4 linked regions of the Drosophila melanogaster genome follow. The protein of the gene in region 1 interacts with the protein of each later gene in a pairwise test. Each region holds a gene or a part of one and is shown in the gene's direction. Other genes may lie near its edges.

Evidence for each region.
Region 2: the proteins of pzg (region 1) and prod interact in a two-hybrid assay, tested with the Drosophila melanogaster proteins (one study listed by BioGRID).
Region 3: the proteins of pzg (region 1) and Camta interact in a two-hybrid assay, tested with the Drosophila melanogaster proteins (one study listed by BioGRID).
Region 4: the proteins of pzg (region 1) and Trl interact in a two-hybrid assay, tested with the Drosophila melanogaster proteins (2 studies listed by BioGRID).

The regions. Positions count from the first base shown.
Region 1 is NT_037436.4:21,284,289-21,290,841, forward strand, and holds pzg (putzig), read left to right. Parts: upstream 1-1,810; 5' UTR 1,811-2,148; coding exon 2,149-2,779; intron 2,780-2,839; coding exon 2,840-5,199; 3' UTR 5,200-5,258; intron 5,259-5,317; 3' UTR 5,318-6,022; downstream 6,023-6,553. Other genes in the region: CG12974 (uncharacterized protein), read right to left, coding at 1-182, 767-847.
Region 2 is NT_033778.4:18,968,895-18,972,885, reverse strand, and holds prod (proliferation disrupter), read left to right. Parts: upstream 1-1,752; 5' UTR 1,753-1,877; coding exon 1,878-2,090; intron 2,091-2,157; coding exon 2,158-2,752; intron 2,753-2,818; coding exon 2,819-3,051; 3' UTR 3,052-3,482; downstream 3,483-3,991. Other genes in the region: CG15107 (uncharacterized protein), read left to right, coding at 453-641, 700-1,057, 1,111-1,295.
Region 3 is NT_033778.4:9,444,194-9,449,062, forward strand, and holds the start of Camta (Calmodulin-binding transcription activator), read left to right. Parts: upstream 1-1,852; 5' UTR 1,853-2,239; coding exon 2,240-2,318; intron 2,319-4,869. Other genes in the region: ced-6, read right to left, coding at 480-490.
Region 4 is NT_037436.4:14,754,921-14,759,521, reverse strand, and holds the start of Trl (Trithorax-like), read left to right. Parts: upstream 1-1,559; 5' UTR 1,560-1,680; exon of another isoform or gene 1,681-2,038; intron 2,039-2,185; exon of another isoform or gene 2,186-2,191; 5' UTR 2,192-2,426; coding exon 2,427-2,618; intron 2,619-4,601. UniProt on the Drosophila melanogaster protein: Transcriptional activator that functions by regulating chromatin structure. Overcomes the repressive effects of chromatin by promoting the open chromatin conformation in promoter gene regions, thereby allowing access to other transcription factors.

The DNA.
Region 1 (6,553 bases):
AGGATGGTTTGGTCGTAGTTCTGGTAATCACTGGGATTCATCTTGCAACTGCCCTTGAAGTACACGTCAAAGAATACAGTCTTGACCATGGAGCCATAGGTGAGGTCATTTGTAATATACAGGACACAATTGTAGGCACATATCGCTGTTATGGTCAAGCCCATCCAGATGATGGACTGGGCCTGAAATAAAAATAACAATAAAATAAGAGGAGTTCTCAAAACGTCAGAGCCACACTGAATAAAAATGAGCACTATTTTTAATCGGTTTTTGTTTGTCATGTTTTTTTAAATTTATATTTATATTGAAAATTAATTAAATAAAATTGTTTTATCGTTTGTTCTTCGTGTTCCGTCATTAAAGAGGTTGGATGGCTTCTAGATCGTGATATTATTCATACCCAGCGAAATATCCAATTTTGTATGTACTTATTTACGTTTACGTTTTTTAGTGTCCCAATCTAGATCTTTTGTTCATTCACTTGTTTACACACGTCAATCGGCATTATCTGATATCTGTGGTGCGGCTCAGTTCTTCAGTTTGGGAGCCGTCCCGGATGAGTCAATGAGTATTATACTCGTATCATGATTAGCTCTCCGACTGTTGGAATACTGGACTATTCGATAGGGAGAGACCATCCAATCTTAGTAAGTGCGCTCAATGTCAGGTCGAACATCTCCCCATATCACTTATCGATGAGCTGGGAATGGGGTCGCGGTCGCTTGGCGGCCTAGACTGTAACATTGAATTGCCAGCGCCGACTTACCACTCCGAGAATTCCGGCCCAAGCTGCTACCGTTTTAAGGGAGCCAAAGTGCTTGATTTTTGCCGCTGGTGCTGAATACATTTTGCAGTGACTGTTCGATATATAGGGGTGGTTTCCAGATACTGGGAGATATTCTCACGCCCCGTATGCGGGACTCAAATCGATCGGGTTGAGTGCGCTTTTGCAGTACGCGACGTCTGTTGGCCAACTGAACGATCGAGCCGGACAATTGAGTTCGCCACCCGTTTACTATATTTCCCGATAAACCTTGCGATAATGGCTCTTATAACAAAAAGCCAACTGGCCAGGGGCTTTTATTTTTTATGTTTCGCTTCGATCGAGGCGGTATCCGCTCGCTTTTCGTTTCGTTCGTTAACTGAATTCTGTGGTTTGGCTGGAACGTTTATCAGGTCGTATGTTATATTATCGCTACTGATAAGAGAGCCCCCTTCCCTTCAACTTTCCTTTGGCTAAAAGATATACCTAAATCGAATAGGTAAAACTGGAATTTCGGAATCTTATCGGTCCTATGTATTAGCACATTAGTGATGTTGGCCTTTATCACTGCGTAAATGCAAGTATTTAATGCTTACCTCACAGGTTGGGTATGCCAAATATTTACGAGGAGAATATTTGTGAATTTAAAGTGGGCGGGCAAAGGCGCCCTCTACTGTCTACAAAACGCACTGTTAATTTTGACATTGCATGATAGGAATGACGCTGAGCCTTTTTTCAAGACAAAATGTGCTAATTATTTACCTTTTACAAATACAAGCACAACAAGTAAGTATTTATTTGTATTTAACCACTCAGCAATCGCAATAAGAAAAATAAATGCTTTATTATTTCAAGTAAATAATTACGTTATCGTAATGAACGGCAACGCTGTGAGATTTTCTCTGTCTGACCATGGTTGACCTCCCAGGCAGCCGCCATTTCCGTGGCGTGCGAGTGAAACGACTAGCCCATGTTTTCCCGCCGTGCCAGGGCAGCGAGCATGCTAAAGAGCGAGACGACCATACGCGTCCGTCGAGAACTGCTACAGCACATACGCATTTTTAACCCTAAAAAATACAGCACCGAGTCTTTAGTACAGTCAAAGTGACGCCGCGACAACTCAGAACGAAACCGAAAATTAAAAACGGAAGAGATTGTTGTTCCTGGTGTCCAAAAAAGATAGATTGTTTCGTTCGAGTGGCTCATCCGTACCCGATCGATACATAAATCCCAGCAAGCTGCCAAACCGGAGTGCAGAAGTGTAGTTTGTCGTAATCGCCGATTAATATTGAAAGGTAGCGGCTTGCAGTTGCGCGTGTAGCGCCCGCACAAACCGAATAACACCATCACTACGGCGTGCTCACCTGAATCCAAAACGCCACGAAATGAACAACCAACTGAATCCGGCCACCTACCGCAAGTTTAACAATCTGCTCAGTAGCGGAGCGGTCACTGTGACCGGTCCCAGCCAGCCGCGAATCCTCAAGTCGACGCGTATGGTGGTACCCGGTGGTGGCGGAGGAGGAGGTGCCTCTGCCGGAGGAGCCTCAGCCGTTGGCGGCGTAGCACAGCAGCAGGCGGTCAACGATGCAGAGTCGGGTGGCGTGGGTATCGGCGGATTAGCCACGCGATGCTATATCTGCGATGACCGCTGCGAGCCACAGACTTCGCTAACCGATATGTGCACCACGCACACTTCCACCAAATTCCCCAACAAACTGGCCCAGCTCGTGGGCGAGGGTTTCCTCGTGATTGTTTGCGGCGAGGATTACGTGTGCTCACGCTGTACCAACCTGGTGAACTACTACGACCGCCTGGAAAACGATGTGGAGCGCGTCAAGACGAACCTCATCAGTTTGCTTAACAAGAAGTATGCCATTAACGAGGATATGGGCCAGGAAGGCAGTCCGCCGCTCAAGATGCAGAAAATGGTCGGCGGATCCGCCAATCGCTCGTTGGAGGAGAGTCCTAGTGCGGATTTGCTGCGTCCACGTAAACTCCTGCAGGGAAACCCAGGTAAGTACATAAATACAGAAATTATAAAGCTTTCCTAATGCATATTCTGCAATCGTACAGTTGGCCAGTCCAAGATCGCCCCAGGAACCACCCAGAGCAGCGTCCAAGGCACCCAGACAGTCCAACGCAAGGCCACCAAGATTTATAAATGCACCTCGTGTGACTATAAAACCTCGGATATGCGGCTGTTCAACACGCATTATGAAACCTGCAAGCAGCAGACCTTCCAGTGCAAGACCTGCCGCAAAATCTTCCCGCACTTTGGGGCCATGAAGCAGCACATGGTGCGCGACCACAATACCGCCATGGATAACACGTGTGCCATGTGTCACATTAACTTCGTGAACGAGAACAGCCTGCGCAAGCACATGGAGACGAATCACGCTACCAATGTACTGGTGACCAGCACCACCACCATACCGGCATCAGCTGCTCCCGTGGCTGCTGCTGCAGCTGCCGCTGCAGCTGCTGCCAACGAGAATCTGGTTGGAACATCGCTATACACATGCAATCATTGCCAGTTCAAGTCAACGGACAAGGTCGTTTTTGATGAGCATATGCGCAAGCATGCCGCTGGTAAACCTAAGCCTTTTAAGTGCCGCCTGTGCTCTCAGCGCTTTGAGACGCGCGAAGCTGCTACTGTGCATGCCAAACAGCATCAGACCAACTTCTTCAAGTGCGGCACTTGTTCGATGACCTTCCCGAAACGGGAGATGCTTGTTAAGCACTTCGAAGTGCATCAGAGTCCTTCCGCATCGACGGTATCGCCCAAGCAGTCAGTTAGCCAGAACCTGAACACCCAGAAGCTCCTTCAAGAGACCATTGATGAGGCACTGAGCGATAGCCTGCCTGCTTCGACAGCTGCTGTGGTGGCAACCACCGAGTCGGAGAACAACATACGCTTCTTCTCGTGCAGCATTTGCTCACTGACTTTCATCCAGGAGACATACTACAACCACCACATGGAGACCCACAGACGTGACAAGAAGGCAACTTCGGCCGGAGCCACTGCCCTAAATTCGGCAGCTACGGCTTTACTAAGCGATGAGCCCGGAGAGGCAACTGGTAAGGCCGGTGACGAGAGCGGCGAGCAAAACGCAGAGGCCGACATTGAGAGCCTGTTTGAAAAGCTCCACTCCGACAAGAACGAGAGCGGTGAGGCGCCCAAACCGGGAAGCAAAGGCGGCGAGATGGTTATTACCTCGCAGGAGGGCAGTGGAGGCATAACCTTCAACATTACTATCCCGCAACCGGACGGAGACCAATCGCAAAAGGATTCGCCCAATACCACAGCACCTGTCTCTGTTAGCATTGACATGCCAAATTTGGATCAAGCCGAAGACGAATCACAGTCCCAGGGCAGCATCGATGCCAAGGGCGAAAGCGGCGAGGCCTCCTCTGCCGATAGCAAATCCAATGCCGCACCGGTTTCCATGCCCAGTTTAGATGATGACAACGAGGCTGCAGCTGCTGAAGCTGAGGCCTCAGAGGAAACCAAGACGGCTAGCAAAGCAGGTCAAGAGAAAGCCAAGGCCAAGGCTGGAGAAAGCGCCAAGTCAAAGGAAGCCGCCGCTGCTGAGGAACCACAACCATCTGACGAAGGAGACGTAGTTGCTAAGCGTGAGGCTACAGATACGCCCACAACTGAGTCGGAGGCCAATGCCACGACCGCTGAAGCCGGTGAATCTGGCGAAGGCGAGGTTACTGCCAGTACTGGAGCCGAGGGCGAGGCGGGTGAAGCTGCAGGTGGCGAGCATGTTGCCATGGAACTTGACGAAGCCATGCAGGCACAGGTGGAAGGTGGCCAGATCAAGTTCATTGTTAACGAGAACGGCCATCTCCTCCAGCTGGACAACCACATCCTGACGGACGCCGAAGGCAACCAAATAATTGTGCAAGATCCCGAGCAAATACAGCAGCTGCTCCAAAGTGTAGGAGTTCTGCAGTCCGGCGAGGGACTTGAGGGCGAAACCCTCCAGATGATGACCGATGGCAGTGGCCAGATGGTACTTGTCCATGGTGACAACAATGAACAGCAGCTTATCGATGCCTCCCTGTTGAACTCCGAGGGGCAGTTAATTATCCAGCAGGGACAGGATGGTGAGGAAGGCGCTCATGTCATTAGCGAGGATGGTACCCGCATCCCAGTGTCCGTGTCGTACACGGAAGATGGCCAGCCCATCGTCCAGGTTCAGCAACAGGTCCTGGAGGCCGCACAGCAGGCAGCCAGCGCTTCCGGAGGTGCAGATGACAAGGAGGCGGCTGCCGACTCGGCCGGCGAGGAAGTGCAAGTGTCGGAGGCATCTAGTGGCACGGCATCCACCACCGTTGTTGCCACGAGCACGGCCAGCAGCACTGGTGGCCCCTCCGGCGGCAGCTTTTTTGCCCTGGAGGAGTTTACGGAGACAAAGACCGACTAGGATTGGCCCTAGGGGCGTGGTCATGACCACTATACCATACTGGCATGCGAAGAGGACTGGTAAGTTAAAGGAATCACCAGCGTGAACTGGGATATTCATACTTTTTCGTTTGTTTTAGGTTTTAGCTGTGGGCACGCTCAAGATCTCTGGAGGACTTTTGCACACCCCAATTTGAAACCCACTCCCTGACACCCACAACCGAACCAACTTTACAGACAACTGAACACGAAGACAGAAAAATACACACACGAACCTTTTCAATATATATTTACATTTAGTATATGTATTAAACACTCCAGTAAACTAAAAGAAAGATTTCTTATTACCCAAGCAAAGGAAAAAAACTAATTCAATAAATCAAATTGTTCATTCGGTCCGTTTCGCACTAGGCTGCCAGGGATCTCAAGCCAGATCTCTTTGGTTGCCTCTTAAATATCGTATCTAGGTTTAGTAATAGTATAGACAAAACTGCAAGATGAAAGCGACAAAAAATGTATAAACATAGAGTTTATGTGAGAAACTTGGAATATAATAAATGTATGTATTTACAAGATAACTCAACAATTACACTAAATAAATCGATTTAAACACAAACATTTGATGAAAATTAAGTTCCGAAATCGGCACAAATCAATTCAGAAATAGTGATGCTTCCTAACACCTAGTGATCCCCGTAAAATGTAAGGATAGGTGAACAATCCCGCTTTCCACTTCCATAAACTCCAGATTCACACCCAAAACAAACAAACACAGGCCGCAAACACGCCCAAATATATGCATGCACGTATATATGTCAAGCAACTTGAAATATATAATTGTAAAGAAACGAACATCGGTTTCAAGTTCCTTTATACTCTGTGAGCGATCTTTGGAATTTGGTATGCATGTAAATCAATTCAGATAAGTTAATTAAACGCGCTGATGGCAACTGTGTTCCAATGAATACAGATGACACAGAAGGCAGTCCCAAAGTTTACATATTGTCAGTATGGATCCAACCATTCATTTCTCAAGTCAGTAAGTTCGTTGACCTTTAAAATGGATTAGTCGGTTATGAATGATATTTTCGAAGTATGCATACCAGCGAAACTTTCGACTCGTTCTTAATTGCCCAACACCTGTTGGCGGCGGATGAGGTCGACTATATTTAAATGTTCAGGTAGTTGATTAATAAGATTTAATACTAAGTTGGATACTAAACTGCCAGCGGTGGCATTAAAGCATTTGGACTGTCATGAAGGCCTTATGAATGCCCCGTTCCGATCCATAAATCAGTGAATGTTGTGATTCTGAAAACAGCAACCGGATTGGCACGTGGATGCGGTTTTGGAGGAACTAATGATTATTTCATAGT
Region 2 (3,991 bases), on another chromosome or scaffold:
ACAAATTTTAAATAAAAAAGGTTTGGAAAATATGTTGAGTCAGCGGTTCTACTAGCTGTTCTACCCTCTGATTGAACTTGATTGAAAAAGCAGGACTAGCTTTGTTACAAAAATTACGAAATACACAAAAAATGCTTAAAGAACTAGACCAATTTATTTTATAAATTGAAATGTGATATTTTGAGAAAAATAAATATTTTTAGATGTATTACACAATCTTGTGAGATTGTGGCGCGGGTAAATTACAAATTCCAAGAAACTTCTTTTCGAACCTAGGAGAACCAAACAATTATTTTGATATTTTCTAAAATAGTTTGGTATTTCGGTTTTGGTATTTAATTTCGGAGCCTTAATTGTTTGTGTTATCGATAGCTCGTTGCTTTATTGCCTTTTTGTGGCGTCTGTTTCAATTTGTTTGTTTTCAATTGTTGGTCATAATTTGGATCCCCAAAATGAATCGACGCAACAAGCGGACGTCGTACTACCAATACGAAGTATACCTAGACTTCATGGAGGAGAATCCCCCGATGTCGGCCAACAAACTGAGTCGCACCCAGGACGGCAAGAAGTGGAAGGAGCTCAGCGATCTGCTAAACAAGTGCTCCACGGGTCCCACTTTGTCGCCCGAGGAATGGCGAAAGGTATGTTGTAACCAGTTGGGTATCGAGTGTACAAGCCCACAGTGTGTCATGCTTATAGCGCCTCAACGACTGGAAGAACAGCACGCGCTCCAAATACCGACGCAGCATCAACTCGGATGACAAGAGCAATGCAATGACTCCTCTGGAGAACAGAGCCCTGCAGATCTTCTCCTTAGAACCGAATTTTCGCGAGGGAATTTCGATGCGCCTGCACGAACTGATGGAGGAGCAAGAGGAACTGGATGAAGAAGAGAATGAGAACCTGGAGGAGTTGGTGGATGAGGAGGAGGAGGAGGAGGTGCAGTACCAGCAGTTCATAGCAGAGCCTCACGAGCAAGCCAACCCAACGATCATCAATGGTCACAGTGCCGCGAAAAAGCTAAGGCTCGATGGTTCCAGTGAGATTATCTACGAAGGTGGGTAGACGCAAATCTAATGTAAATACTAAATATCCTATAAAGGGACATAGCCTTGATTTCAGTCGCGGATGTCACATCTGATCAATCTGCCGCGAAAGAACCGTCTGCCTTCTATGGAGAGAAAATCCAGGAGCAGCTGAAACGCATTTCGGACATACACGAGGCATCGCTGCACTTTAAGATAGCCCGCTTCAAGTACAATAATCCCGGATTCGAGTACGTTCCGGAATTATAGCCCATGCTAGCCATGCACATTGATATAATGTATAATGTAATATAATATGTGAGCTCAGAGGGACCTGCTGATTTCGCCTCGAATTAAAAGCCGCGGAACGCTCAATAAGTAGTACAGTAGGCATTCGTTGAAAACAAATTCTTGAGTAGTGTGTACCATATACCAATTAGTCGTTTTTAAGACTGTTGTTATGCATATCGTTCGACGAAATACTTTTTGCACATATATTTTGAAATGTATTATTGATTTATATGAAACCGCTAATAAATATTGTGACAAATCATTTCTGAATCCGCATGTTTTTATTGCAACAAAATTGAATTATTTATTGCACATCTAGCCATAACTATCGCATGGCATCTAATTGCTTTTTTGGCTTCCCGCCAGATGCGCACCACTGGCGTGCCGAATGCAACCCTGCGCCAACAGCAACAAAATGCAACTAGAAAATCCCAAACGCTAAATGCGTAAATTGTTTGTGAACATCTCGCATCGCTTGGTGGCGTCGATTTGCATTTTAGGGCTTTTGCCAGCTATTTAAACACGGCATCGAGCACGCAGGCACAGAGCAAGGATACCCGGATGAACGGCAAGATGGACCGCCGCAAGAAACGCACCTCATCGGAGCAGTACCAAATGTACATCGACATGATGGAGAGCGACCCCATTTTCGCCACCGGACGAGTGCCGCGCGACTATGACCTGAACTACTTGACCAAAAAGTGGAAGGAGCTCTCCGACCGGCTAAACAAGTGCAGCTCCGGACCCACACTGACGCCGGAGGAGTGGCGCAAGGTACGAGTACCACTACATCACCCAAATAATGTTACCTCTAATCGCGAATTTCCTGCTCCACATACAGCGCCTAAACGATTGGAAGAACACCACTCGCTGCAAGTACAGACGCAGCCTTCTGTCCACGGAAAAGGACATCTCGATGACCTCCGTGGAGACGCGCGCTCTCGATCTCTTTGGCAAGGTGCCCACCACCGGCGGCGAAACGATGCTCAATCTGAAGTCCGAAAAGGATGAGCACGACGACGAGATGGAGGAACTGGGCCAGCGTACTTCGGTGGCATTTCAAAAGGAACTTCAGGCAGCCGTTGAAGAGGCAATCAACGATGAGGTGGACGAGGAGGAGATGGTGGAGGAGCATGTCGATCACGAGGACATGATGGAGGAGAATCTGGCGGAGACCGGCATCACCGCGTCCACAACGGCGGTCAATACGGGTGGCGGCACCTATCGCACCATCGTCGTGGACAACACATCCTTCGAGCATGTCGAGGAGGATCCCCAAACGGTGCAGCCGCACGCCGTCGAGTACGTCACATCCCGCAGGCCTGCTGCCCCCGTCATCAATCCGGGCACAGCCTCCTCCGGCAATAAGCTGATCAACGGCGAGCTGCCCGTCAAGCGGATGCGCACACAGCCCAGGGAGCAAATTATCTACGAAGGTAACTATGCCGTTTTACTTTGCTTAAGTTTAAGCAGTTAACATCACGTTTTTCCATATCTTTCAGTTAAAAATGCGCCGCGTTGCATTTCAAACATGCAGGCCGTGCCGCCGCTGCACAGTACAAAGCTGGAGCGGGAACCCAGTTCGCTGACAAGCGCGCTGAGCAGCAGCGATGCCCAGCAGATCGCGCACCAGCTGAAGCGACTGGCCGACATCAAATTCGAGACACTGCAATTTGAGATTGCGCGCTTCAAGTTCAACAACCCGGGCTTCCAGTACGATCCGCCGTCCTTATAGTGTCCCAAGCGGCAGGGCGAGATCAGTGGGTCTAAGCAGTCGGCAAAAACTCCAGCACCAGCAGAAGCCACGGCGAAAGGATCAGCATTAGCAAAAGCAATGGAACGAGTCAAGTCAGCTCGAATTGTATAGGTCTTTTACGAATGTGCTCTTTGGCACTCGAACGTTTTCTAGCTCTCCAAGTCCTGCGCTCCGCCGGAACACACACAAAACTGTAACTTATAGTAGCCAGATTTAAATTGACTAGTTTAAAATTGACATAGAATTCTATTGTGTAAACAGTTATTTTCAACTTTTCAAGCACTTCATCTACGATATCCATATATATGAAATAGGCATAAAATTGTAATATCTAAAGTGAAAAACAATTGGACAAGTAATTTTAACGCGTTGTATGTAAATGTTAAGAATAAAGTTTACCAATGATAAATATGCGCCGCACAGACGTGCTCCACCTTTTGCCTGTTGTTGCATTTTTAGAGTTTATTTATGACGCCGTGGCCAGAATCGAAGCCAACACGAAAAGTCCATTAATCAAAGCTAGGGAGATGGCGTCGACAACGCGTATATGCATTGTGGCTCGGCTTCGCTTTGGCTTTTAGTTTGGGTCATTTTAACCTGACCGCCAACTAGTGGGCGCACTTTGTAACTGTCAGCAGCGCCTGGAGGCATCGATGCGAAAGAAATCACTTGTGGCTGTTATGGTCGCCCGATGCTGATGCAACAAGTGCCGATCCAAAGTCCTCGGCTGCTCCCTGCTCCACCTACTCCGCTTGGATAACTGCAATGGGCAATAGATCATTTGCGGGCCGTGCGCTGCGAATCATAAATTACCGAAGACCAAGGTGGAGCGTTTGAGGGAACAGACCTCCGCCATGGGACGACGCACGGTGTTCCGTTAGGAATCGTTGGCATCGCGTTGATAACTGCACAACACGTC
Region 3 (4,869 bases), on another chromosome or scaffold:
CATAATTTACGTGCCGATGCCCGCCCCGCCGAGAGTCACGTTTCCACCTCACGCTCCTTATCACATGTCGACGAGCACGGGGAACACTGTAGGAAATCAAAAGTGGGGAGTACTGTCAAAGTGCCACAAAATGCATATACATATGTAAATAAGAAACTCAAAGCTGCAAATCAAACAAGCAACGCGATTCGGATTAATTCCAATGCCTAAATTATAGCCAGCAATGTAATGTAGCAATATTGAGAGAATATCATATTATCCTAACTATAGATATAAACATAAAATTCTAATTTCAGCTTTATTATGCTTCCCATAAGTAAACATTGACCTTCTTAATATACAATAACTGTCAAATTATCATTACAAGATAATTCAGAAGACAAATATTTTGTTTTCTGGGATCGCGGATTATCAAGTTGGCGGGTTCATTTAGCGCGTGTTGCCTGTGCTTCCAAATGAGCAGCGCTTATCTCGTTTACCTCTTGATCATCGCTTATCAGCGGGGCCCTGAACGCCCCCATAAAGGCACGACACACACACATACATACACAAGTGGCACGCACACGGACATGCACACATTTCGAGTAATTCAATTATTTTGTGTATTATTTTCAATGTGCAACAAAAGCGACAATAAAATAACAAGCCAGCGGCAATATACAGCCAGCAGCCGACTTATCACCGCGCCGTCGCTGTTGTTGCAATGCTTGTTGCTGCTGATGTTGTCGTCGATTTCAAACTGCTGGCACTGACTGGCACTGGCACACAGCTATGGCAATTATTCTGTGTTCGCTTCAGTCGCCCCGCCCGTTGATTTTGATAGAGCCAGAGCCCCGAGACTTCCGCTGGTCGCGGGAAGCGGAGGGAAGCGAGGCGGGGTCGGAAAACCGCGGGGTCGGCTGCTGGAAAAATCCAAGGAAAGTTCGGCGAAAGTCGTTGCCTATCAATGATGGGCGGTCTCAAGGGCTGTACATACATACAAACATACATATATTTTGATAGCTTACAATATACAAATGTACATATGCGAATTACACAAAATGTCATTTACATTTTACGCCCATTTTACTTCCCATTTGCATGCTCCTCTTAAAGGATTTTGACATATAACTTTATGATTGAACTAAGCTAAGAACTAGAATGGTATGTAATATTTTCCTTGGGTTCTAACAAAAGTCGCAGGAATAGAACTTCCTGCTCACGTCCAAGCAAACCAATCTCAGCGTTTTTAAGACAAATATGCATTATAAATTCATCAATCCTTCATTATTTATTTATTTAAGATAATATAACCGAGGCCATCGACTATGTACCTATATACTAATATACATCATTTGATTGAACTAAGATTAAAATTTTCGTAGACTGAAAGGGTATACTAGATTCGTTGAAATGTACATATACATATGTAAGTTAAAGAAGGGTGGAACCGTCAGCTGGACGTCGGCGGTAAACAGCGGACACGGCGGGATACATCGGAGTTTAAAATTCAACAGAAAGAAAATAATTATAAAACGTATAAAAAATGACTAACAAAACCCGGATTTGAAATTCAATACGATATTTTAAATATAGTGCCCGATTTCCGATAATTGAATGTTGGAGTTGTCATCTTGACCGATAAGCCGATAAGTGGAACACTTGGGGTGCTGCCAGATGGTTAGATATAGTTTAAACTAATTTATATCAAACATAGACTTGTAAGGTTAAGATTACAAGGTTATTGGCTTGTAAAGTATTCTTGCTTTCTTGTATAATAAGTTATCAATTTTAAAAAATTCGAAATCATTGTCGTTAAGTTTTGTGGGAGCTCGCCCTTTGCAACATCTGGCAACTTTGCCGTCATATGTTTGACAGTTTGACATGCACACAGTTTTGGAGTAGCTCAAAATATTTTCGCTATCGTTTTTTTTTAATAATTTCGTGTGTGAAACGGTGATATTATTGATTTTTGTTGCATTTTATGCATCGTCCAGCTGAAGCACATCGAAATCCGCCAAGGGACTCCACGGCTTGCGCACAGGGAGGCAGTGAAAAAGTTTTGTTTACCTTTTTTCGATATCCCAGAGTTCTGCGATTTCGGTGTCGCTGTGTGCGTGTGCGAGCGCCCATGTCACCTGTGTGTGTGTGCGTGCGAGCTGGTGTGCAAAAATGAAAATGCATTCTCAATAAAGCGAAATAAATGTGCCAACCGCTAAGAGAGTAGTGCATTCTAAAATTGGTTGTTAAAGCTGTGCACATGGAAAATGTGCCCGATATTTCCACCAGCGCTTCGTCCTCTTCTACTTCTAATTCAACTTCCACACTGAAACTCCAAAGTAAGTTAGCCCCAACTCCCCCTACCCCTATCACCCATCCCTCTTCTACATGCATATATGTAAGTTATATCTGTGCTGTAGCCCACGTATCTCCCGATTTTCGACCTGATAGTCGTGCTCTCCTCGATATTGGTTTTCCAATTAGTTTTTGTTTTGTTGTGTTTCGCTTTGCGTTGCGTTTTGTTTTCACGTTGTTGGGGGTTTCTTTGGGCCATTAACCCATTGGTGGCCGCTGTGCCATATTACGCCTTTCCTGTCAATACTGAAATCTCTTTAGTATTACGCCCATCTACGGTATTGCAAAGCTGGTTTAAAGATGGGAGAGTCTAATTGGAAATTCCTATGGACGCAATCAGCTGTTATCTGGATTCTTTAAACATAAATATGGCAACTCTGCTCGTAAAAACCGATTGGCGGGCTTCGAATTTTAGAAGTGTTAATAACACACTCTTAGTTGGTCATAAATTCATGAGTATAGATAAGATAAATGGAAACATTTCTTTTCCAAACACAAAACTAGTGACCTAAATGTTTATAAACAATGATTGTTTAAAAGATTGGAAAGTGGTCACAAAAAAATCCAAGACGTTCACCACTTTATTTAAATAATAAATATTTATGTCTAGACCCAGAGTAATAATCAGTTGCAGACTGATAAAGCCTATCAAAGTTCTTGTTCTTGTGGTTTGTTCATCTTTGATTTGTCCTCTTTCTTAACCCTTTGTCGGCTATCTATGTGCAGAATCTATTGACATATTTATCGAACTCTTTCCCCAGCTGGCAAATCTAACGCTTTTTGATTTATGCTTCTAATAAAAATTCAATAGACTTGCAATTTGTCCAGCTACCCAGAAACTTTTGTTTCCCCCCCAGTTTCCCAGCTAAGCAAGTGGAGTAAAGCACGTGGAGTACAACAGTGGGATTATATAGCACGATTTTTTTTTTTCAAAATCCTGTAATCAAACAAAATTTAAAGAAAAGAATTAAAAACAAAAAATATTTCAATTAAATTGATATTTCCTATTATAGGAATATTTGGTTTTAACAGCATTTATACATGAGAAAAACCCTTAAAAATAAATACGAATTAAAAGCAAATTAATTTTAAAATAATTACAACAAAATCATTTTCCATTCAAAATTCCGTTTTTATCTTCTGGTTTTCATTATTATATATATGTTGTATATTTTTTTTTTTACTTAAACTAACAATTGTCGTGCCCACTGTCCACATCGTTGCACATCAAAAGCCGCGACGAACGCAAAAATATGCGAAGCTTCAGCCAAGAGTGTTTTATGTGTTACGCGGCTGCCTGATCCCCGAGTGCCCCGAATCCTGGGATCTGCGTGCTGTTGTGGCTGGTCTGCCATACATTACAATGAAGTATGTGCGCTCGAATGGATGGCCAGCCAACAGCCAGTGGCCCCACCTATTCTATTCCGATCCTGGTCCAATTCAGGCGGTTTATTTTGCCTGGCGGCAGGCGACCTTTTTGCACAGACACTCCAAGGAAGGCGAAGGGGGCGCAGACACTTGTCCACTTGGGGTCAGATGGTCGCATGTGGCGCTTTCCCCTGCCCGCTTTTCTGCTTTTCCGCTTTTCCCCAAAGCACAGCCGACTGAAGGCGGCGTCAACGGCTAATTATGACCCGCACGTTTTTGCGAAAACAAACACACATGGTTTTTGGGGGTGTGGAAATACCCAGGAAAGGGTGCTGGATGCCGGCGGCGGGGGGAGGCGGGAAAAGCAGGGGAGCCGGACAAGTGTTTAGGCTACATTTCGAAATGTTTCCGGCGCGCACTTTACGTTCCGTGTCGCCTTCAGCCTTGAGAGTCTATATTTGGCAACGCATGCCAGGGCAGAGACCCCCATTTGCCTACACCCGTGAACCTACCCCATTACTTTCTCCTCCTTTCTTGGCTGAAAACTCGCTGTTTGTTTGTTGCACTTTTATTGCGTTTTGTGCTGGGGCTCGTCGGCTAAGTAGTCCTTCGTCCCTGCCATAAACATGTCGTCTTTCGCTTGATTTAGCGTTTGGCTACCGCCCATCCTCCCCATTTGTTGGCCAACAAAATAGAGTGTCCGAGCCACTGACCGCTCTAGGCATACGTCGCGTATACGTAATGCTCGACGTCCCTTTCAGTTCATTTTTACGGACCCTGGGAAAGTGCAACAATGGCAGCCACGCCTCCTGCCTCCCCTGTCACATGCGCTTCTAATGCAAGGCTTTCCAAATTCGATCAAGATGGAGTCATAAATCTTGCGCCGCTTATGAAGTTTCCATTGAATTTGCATACAATGGGGCTGTCCGTTTTTTGGGGCCACTCGAAATTGCTCAATTCGAGAAATCGAGAACAAAATGTTACAGGAGCACTTACACCAAAAATGAAACCAACACGCTGTTTAGATAACTTACAAATAAATAAATAAGATCTACTCTTTTTATACATCCAGACGTTCTAGGATGTACATTTTTAATTTTGTTGTTTTACCTGGATAAATACCTTTTATATATTGTATGTACATTGAATTGATTATTTAAGACTGAT
Region 4 (4,601 bases), 6.5 Mb from region 1:
GCCAATGGAAAAAATAGTCCAGTAACGCTTATACAATTTGTTTACAAAAACCAGTTATACAATGTATTCCAAAATTTTACATAGTAATTCTATTCCTACCACTTATGTTTTGTATCCCACTGTGCTTGGTTTGCACTCATTCCTCCACCTCTGCCGAGTCACCCACCACCAACACCCCCCAGCGCGCACGCTCTCCCTCATTCTCACATCATGCTCCGTTGGTTGGTATTGCCAGCTACGAAACATGAAACATGCTCACTGCTTTAACGCCGATTGGAACTTTAAAGGGGCATTTCGAACGGCATTTCTCATGGCCCCTTCCCTGCCCAGCAGCATCATAACAGAGAAAATTGTAATCTTAAAAATTTGGACACTCGCTCACTTTATATTACTTTCTTCTCTGAGCGTTGGCTAGAAGTGCCACTCTCCTTCTCCTTCAATTCCAAATTCGACTAACTTCCCTATCGCGGGGTCTCTCCGCTCTTAAGCTGGACTTGATCTGCATACGAGAATGAGACTGGCTATATGTTTTTACCCCGTAGGGTCTCGGTCTCTGAGATGTGTCAAAAGTAACAGGTGATTGGATTGGATTCGAAAGGAGAGAGGAGAGTTAGAGACAGGGGAAAGAGAATGTAGAGCGTAAGAGCGAACCGGCTTTTCTACCATTTGTTATTATTACTTTCACAGGATCTGTTAATATTTCGGAACCGAAGAGAAACCCAGTCCCGATACATGTCTATTTTAATCTAAACCTATCAGATTCTTTTGATTCCTGTGTAACCCTCAGTAGCATTACACTTGTTCCCAGAAAAATGGAATCTGGTATCTTAAAAAGAAAACTGAAAGTAATTTATTCTGAACCCAATACCCTTCTAGATTTTGGTGATCAAACATAATAAATTGTTAGATTAGGGACTCGTTCTACGAAAATCTGCTTATCGATTTAATCATAGCTAATGTTGGAATTTATTTTTAATACAATTGCTCGATACCTTAGCTAGAATAATTCAAAAACGTTCTGAATTGTTTATCCTTCATTTTTAAACTGTAAAATTTGAGCTTATTCAGAGTGGAGTAGTATAAGAAAATGTTGAATATTTTGATACCGGATCCGATAGTTATAGAACCGGAACCTACGGATCCCGTTGACCTTTTTCTTATCGCACTCTGATATTCCAACCGGTCGGACACATGTGTTTTTCATCCGTGAAGTCGGCCCAGAATATTTCCATCATTCAATATTTACCACCTTTTATAGTTTTGTTTACTATCTTGCCGACTTTTTTGTCTTGCCGTCTTGCTCTCCTCTCCATCCTAAAAATACTCTTCCTGCGCTCCATCTGGCAATGCCGCTCGACAACTGTACTTCAAAGAGCGTTGCCAGGCAGGTCACTTCTCTCATAGATACACAGATACAGGCGCGCACGCACACCAGCACGCAAAATAACCACCACCAGCAGTACAGAAATTACACATTTTCTCCCCGAGTAGAGAACTGAAAAACTGGCCGCGCTGGCAGCGCCGGAGCAGCGAAATTCGATCGAAACCATTTACTCAGTCTCAGTTCGAGTTATCCAACGTTGGCGAGCGGACAAACAAGCAGGAGAAAAAAGCGTACGGGCAAGAGAAAGAGAAGGCACAAAATCACCCACAGCCACTGAAATTTTCTTTTGCGCTCCGGTGAGAAGATAATTTCACAAACCAAAACCGAACCAACAAACAAAAAAAGTGCGCTCCGTGAGCGGGAAAACAATAACAAAATCAAGAGACATGCGATTATAAAACGAACAAAATAACTGAGTGACAAAAAAAAATTAAATGCGTGTCTCATGGCTTGACTGTACTGTGTATTAAAAAATGTGATTGTGTCGGCTGTCCGTCTGTCTGAGTTTGTGCGCGTGTGTGTGCTGTTGGCGTTTTTAAATGTGGCGCGCTATTTTTGTGTGATTTTTGTGGGCAGCAACGAATTTTGAAACATCAATTGTATACTAGTTGTCAGTCCCCTTGTGAAAAAGTCTTCTCCAACAACAAAATTCCTGTGAGCAGCCTACACACATGCGTTGTCTCGCTCTCGCGCGCTCTGGCCCCCAAAGAGTGCGAGAGCGGGAGAGTGAGACCGAGAAAGAGAGAGAGAGAGAGAGAGCTAATAACTAACGTCTGTACTCTTTTTCTTTTCCATTTTTCATTTCAGTTTCGAGAAAGCAGCGCGCCAAGCAGCAAGAAGAGGAAGAGCAAAGGGAGTTGGAAAAGCAGTGGCGTCGTGGAGGAGGAGTAGAAAGGGGATTTTTGCGAAAAATCCCAACTTGAAGAGAATTTTCCCCGTAACCGTTAAACATTAAATCGTCGTGTTGGAGACAAATAGCAGCGAATACGCTAGCAACGCTGGGGAGGAACAACAATTGTTGGATTTGGACGCGACCGCTTTGATGTCGCTGCCAATGAATTCGCTGTATTCGCTCACCTGGGGCGATTACGGCACCAGCCTCGTATCGGCAATCCAATTGTTGCGCTGCCATGGCGACCTCGTCGATTGCACGTTGGCCGCCGGCGGGCGGAGTTTTCCCGCCCACAAGATAGTCCTGTGCGCCGCCTCCCCCTTTCTGCTGGACTTGCTAAAGGTAAGTGCTCGGTTCGGAAACACTGCCTAAAACACCTTTCAATAAGAGAGCTTGTACATAACCTCAAACGTTTCGTACAGTTTGTAAACAGAGAAATCCAATCGCAGAAATAGGTTAATGTTTGGAGCGCAGAGAAACTGACACTCGCACGCAAATGCATACATATGTATAAATAACGCAGATTTACGCTCCGCTCCAAAAGTTGTCTAGAGATTTTTGTACAAGTTTTCCACTGTCAATTGAGTTGAATGAGTGGCTCCGCCCCCCGCATTCCCGCCGTCTATCTTGCTTATCAGCTTTTTCTTGTTGCAAAGTTCACCGGAGAACGAGAGAGTGAGACGTAGAGACAGAGCGCAGACAGAGAGGGAGAGAGCGAGAGAACCAGTTGGTTCGGTCGACAGAAAAGTGGTTTTGGGCCCGGTGGTGTAACAGAGAGGGGAGAGCCGAAAGCTGGTGCGCCAACTTTTAAATCGCATGTGTTAGAGCGAGCGCAAACGAGAGCGCCAAAAGCAGCGCGGCAACTGTTGTAGTTGTTGGATGGTTGGAGCTTTCGTCTTGCCTTTTGGTTCTTGCTGTTGTTGGGTGCACACGAGCGCGACCTCTTTCTTCACAGACAGAACTGTACAGTTGGCTCTGGCTAGGGGGAACTTGAAATATTGGGGGGAATATGGATACATATACAAAGATAATTAAAATTAAATTTGTATTGATTGGTTTGATTTCCTTAACCCATTTCCTAAGCTAAGTCTTTTGTATTTTGTATGTCACCATTTTAGATTGCTAGATTGATTGTCTAACAGCAAACTTCGCTCAATTAAAAGTTCCTGGACTTTAATAGACTTATCTACTTCAAATCTTTATTTAAACTTATAACATAGTGACCAAGTCCAGATTGTACCAAAGATAAGCAAGCCTGTCTGGTGCGCTTCCCTCGTATCGAATCCAACCCGTATTTCTATAAACTAAAGCATTTCATATTAGGAAGGCGCACTTTTAAATGGAGCTTGCAAGTTTTTTCATGAGCTGTATTGCGATACTGTACTTTTTAACAACTCATTTGCACTTTAACTTTGACGCTTTTCCGCCACTCTGTCGATTGTTCAAAGTGTGCGCTTAAGTATGAAAGTTGGACCGTCTTCAATGCGTGGCCCTATCGTAATGGAAATACTGACCAAAACAGAGCGCGGCCAGCGAAATGAAAACACCTGATGCGACGCCGACAGCGGCTACTCTGCGCTTCGCTCCCCCTTATTCTCAGCGCTCCTCATCTCTCCTCTCCTTTTCTGGGCCGTGAAAAAGTAAACAGAGCGAAATTTTTGAAAACGCCGCTCAGAGCCGTCGTGGGGAAATGTCAAAGAAAAAAAAAAAAAAACAAAAAGAACGGGACCAATGCGGCTGTGAACTCTGCAAGAGTCCGAAAAGTACAAGATGTACTGATCTCGTTACACTCACACACGCACGCAAAAACACATGGCGGTCGCTCTTTGTTGCTCTTGCTCCCTCTCCCTTGCTCCTACGGCAAATGGAATGCAACTCTGAAAAATCGATGAGCGAGACTTTGGTTGGAGGCAGAGTTCAAAGAGCGCAAATGGGAGTGCGGTGAGATGTGTCATTTCAAGAGATTGGCATTGGATGAAGGGAGGGTGTTGGTTGGTGAGTCCGTAAATGGAGAGGGGTTGTTTTCTGAGCAATGCTATATAATTAAATGTTTGGAGCGGGAGCGGGAGCGGGAGAGGACACAGAAGAAGAACAGCTAAGCGCTCTTTCTTTAAGCGCTGCTCTGTTTTCTTTTTCAGCATCTGAAATCTCAAAATCCTGCTGCAGAATGTGCAGAGCGCGCAAAAGTAAAAGCCGGTTGTCTTTTGTCTGTGTCACTGTGTGCGTGAGCGGAGGAGAGTGTGAGCGACGCGTCGCACCGCGAGTTTCCATTATTTCCATCTCCGTCCGACTGTTTTTGTTATTGTTTTTATTTGGATTGGCGGA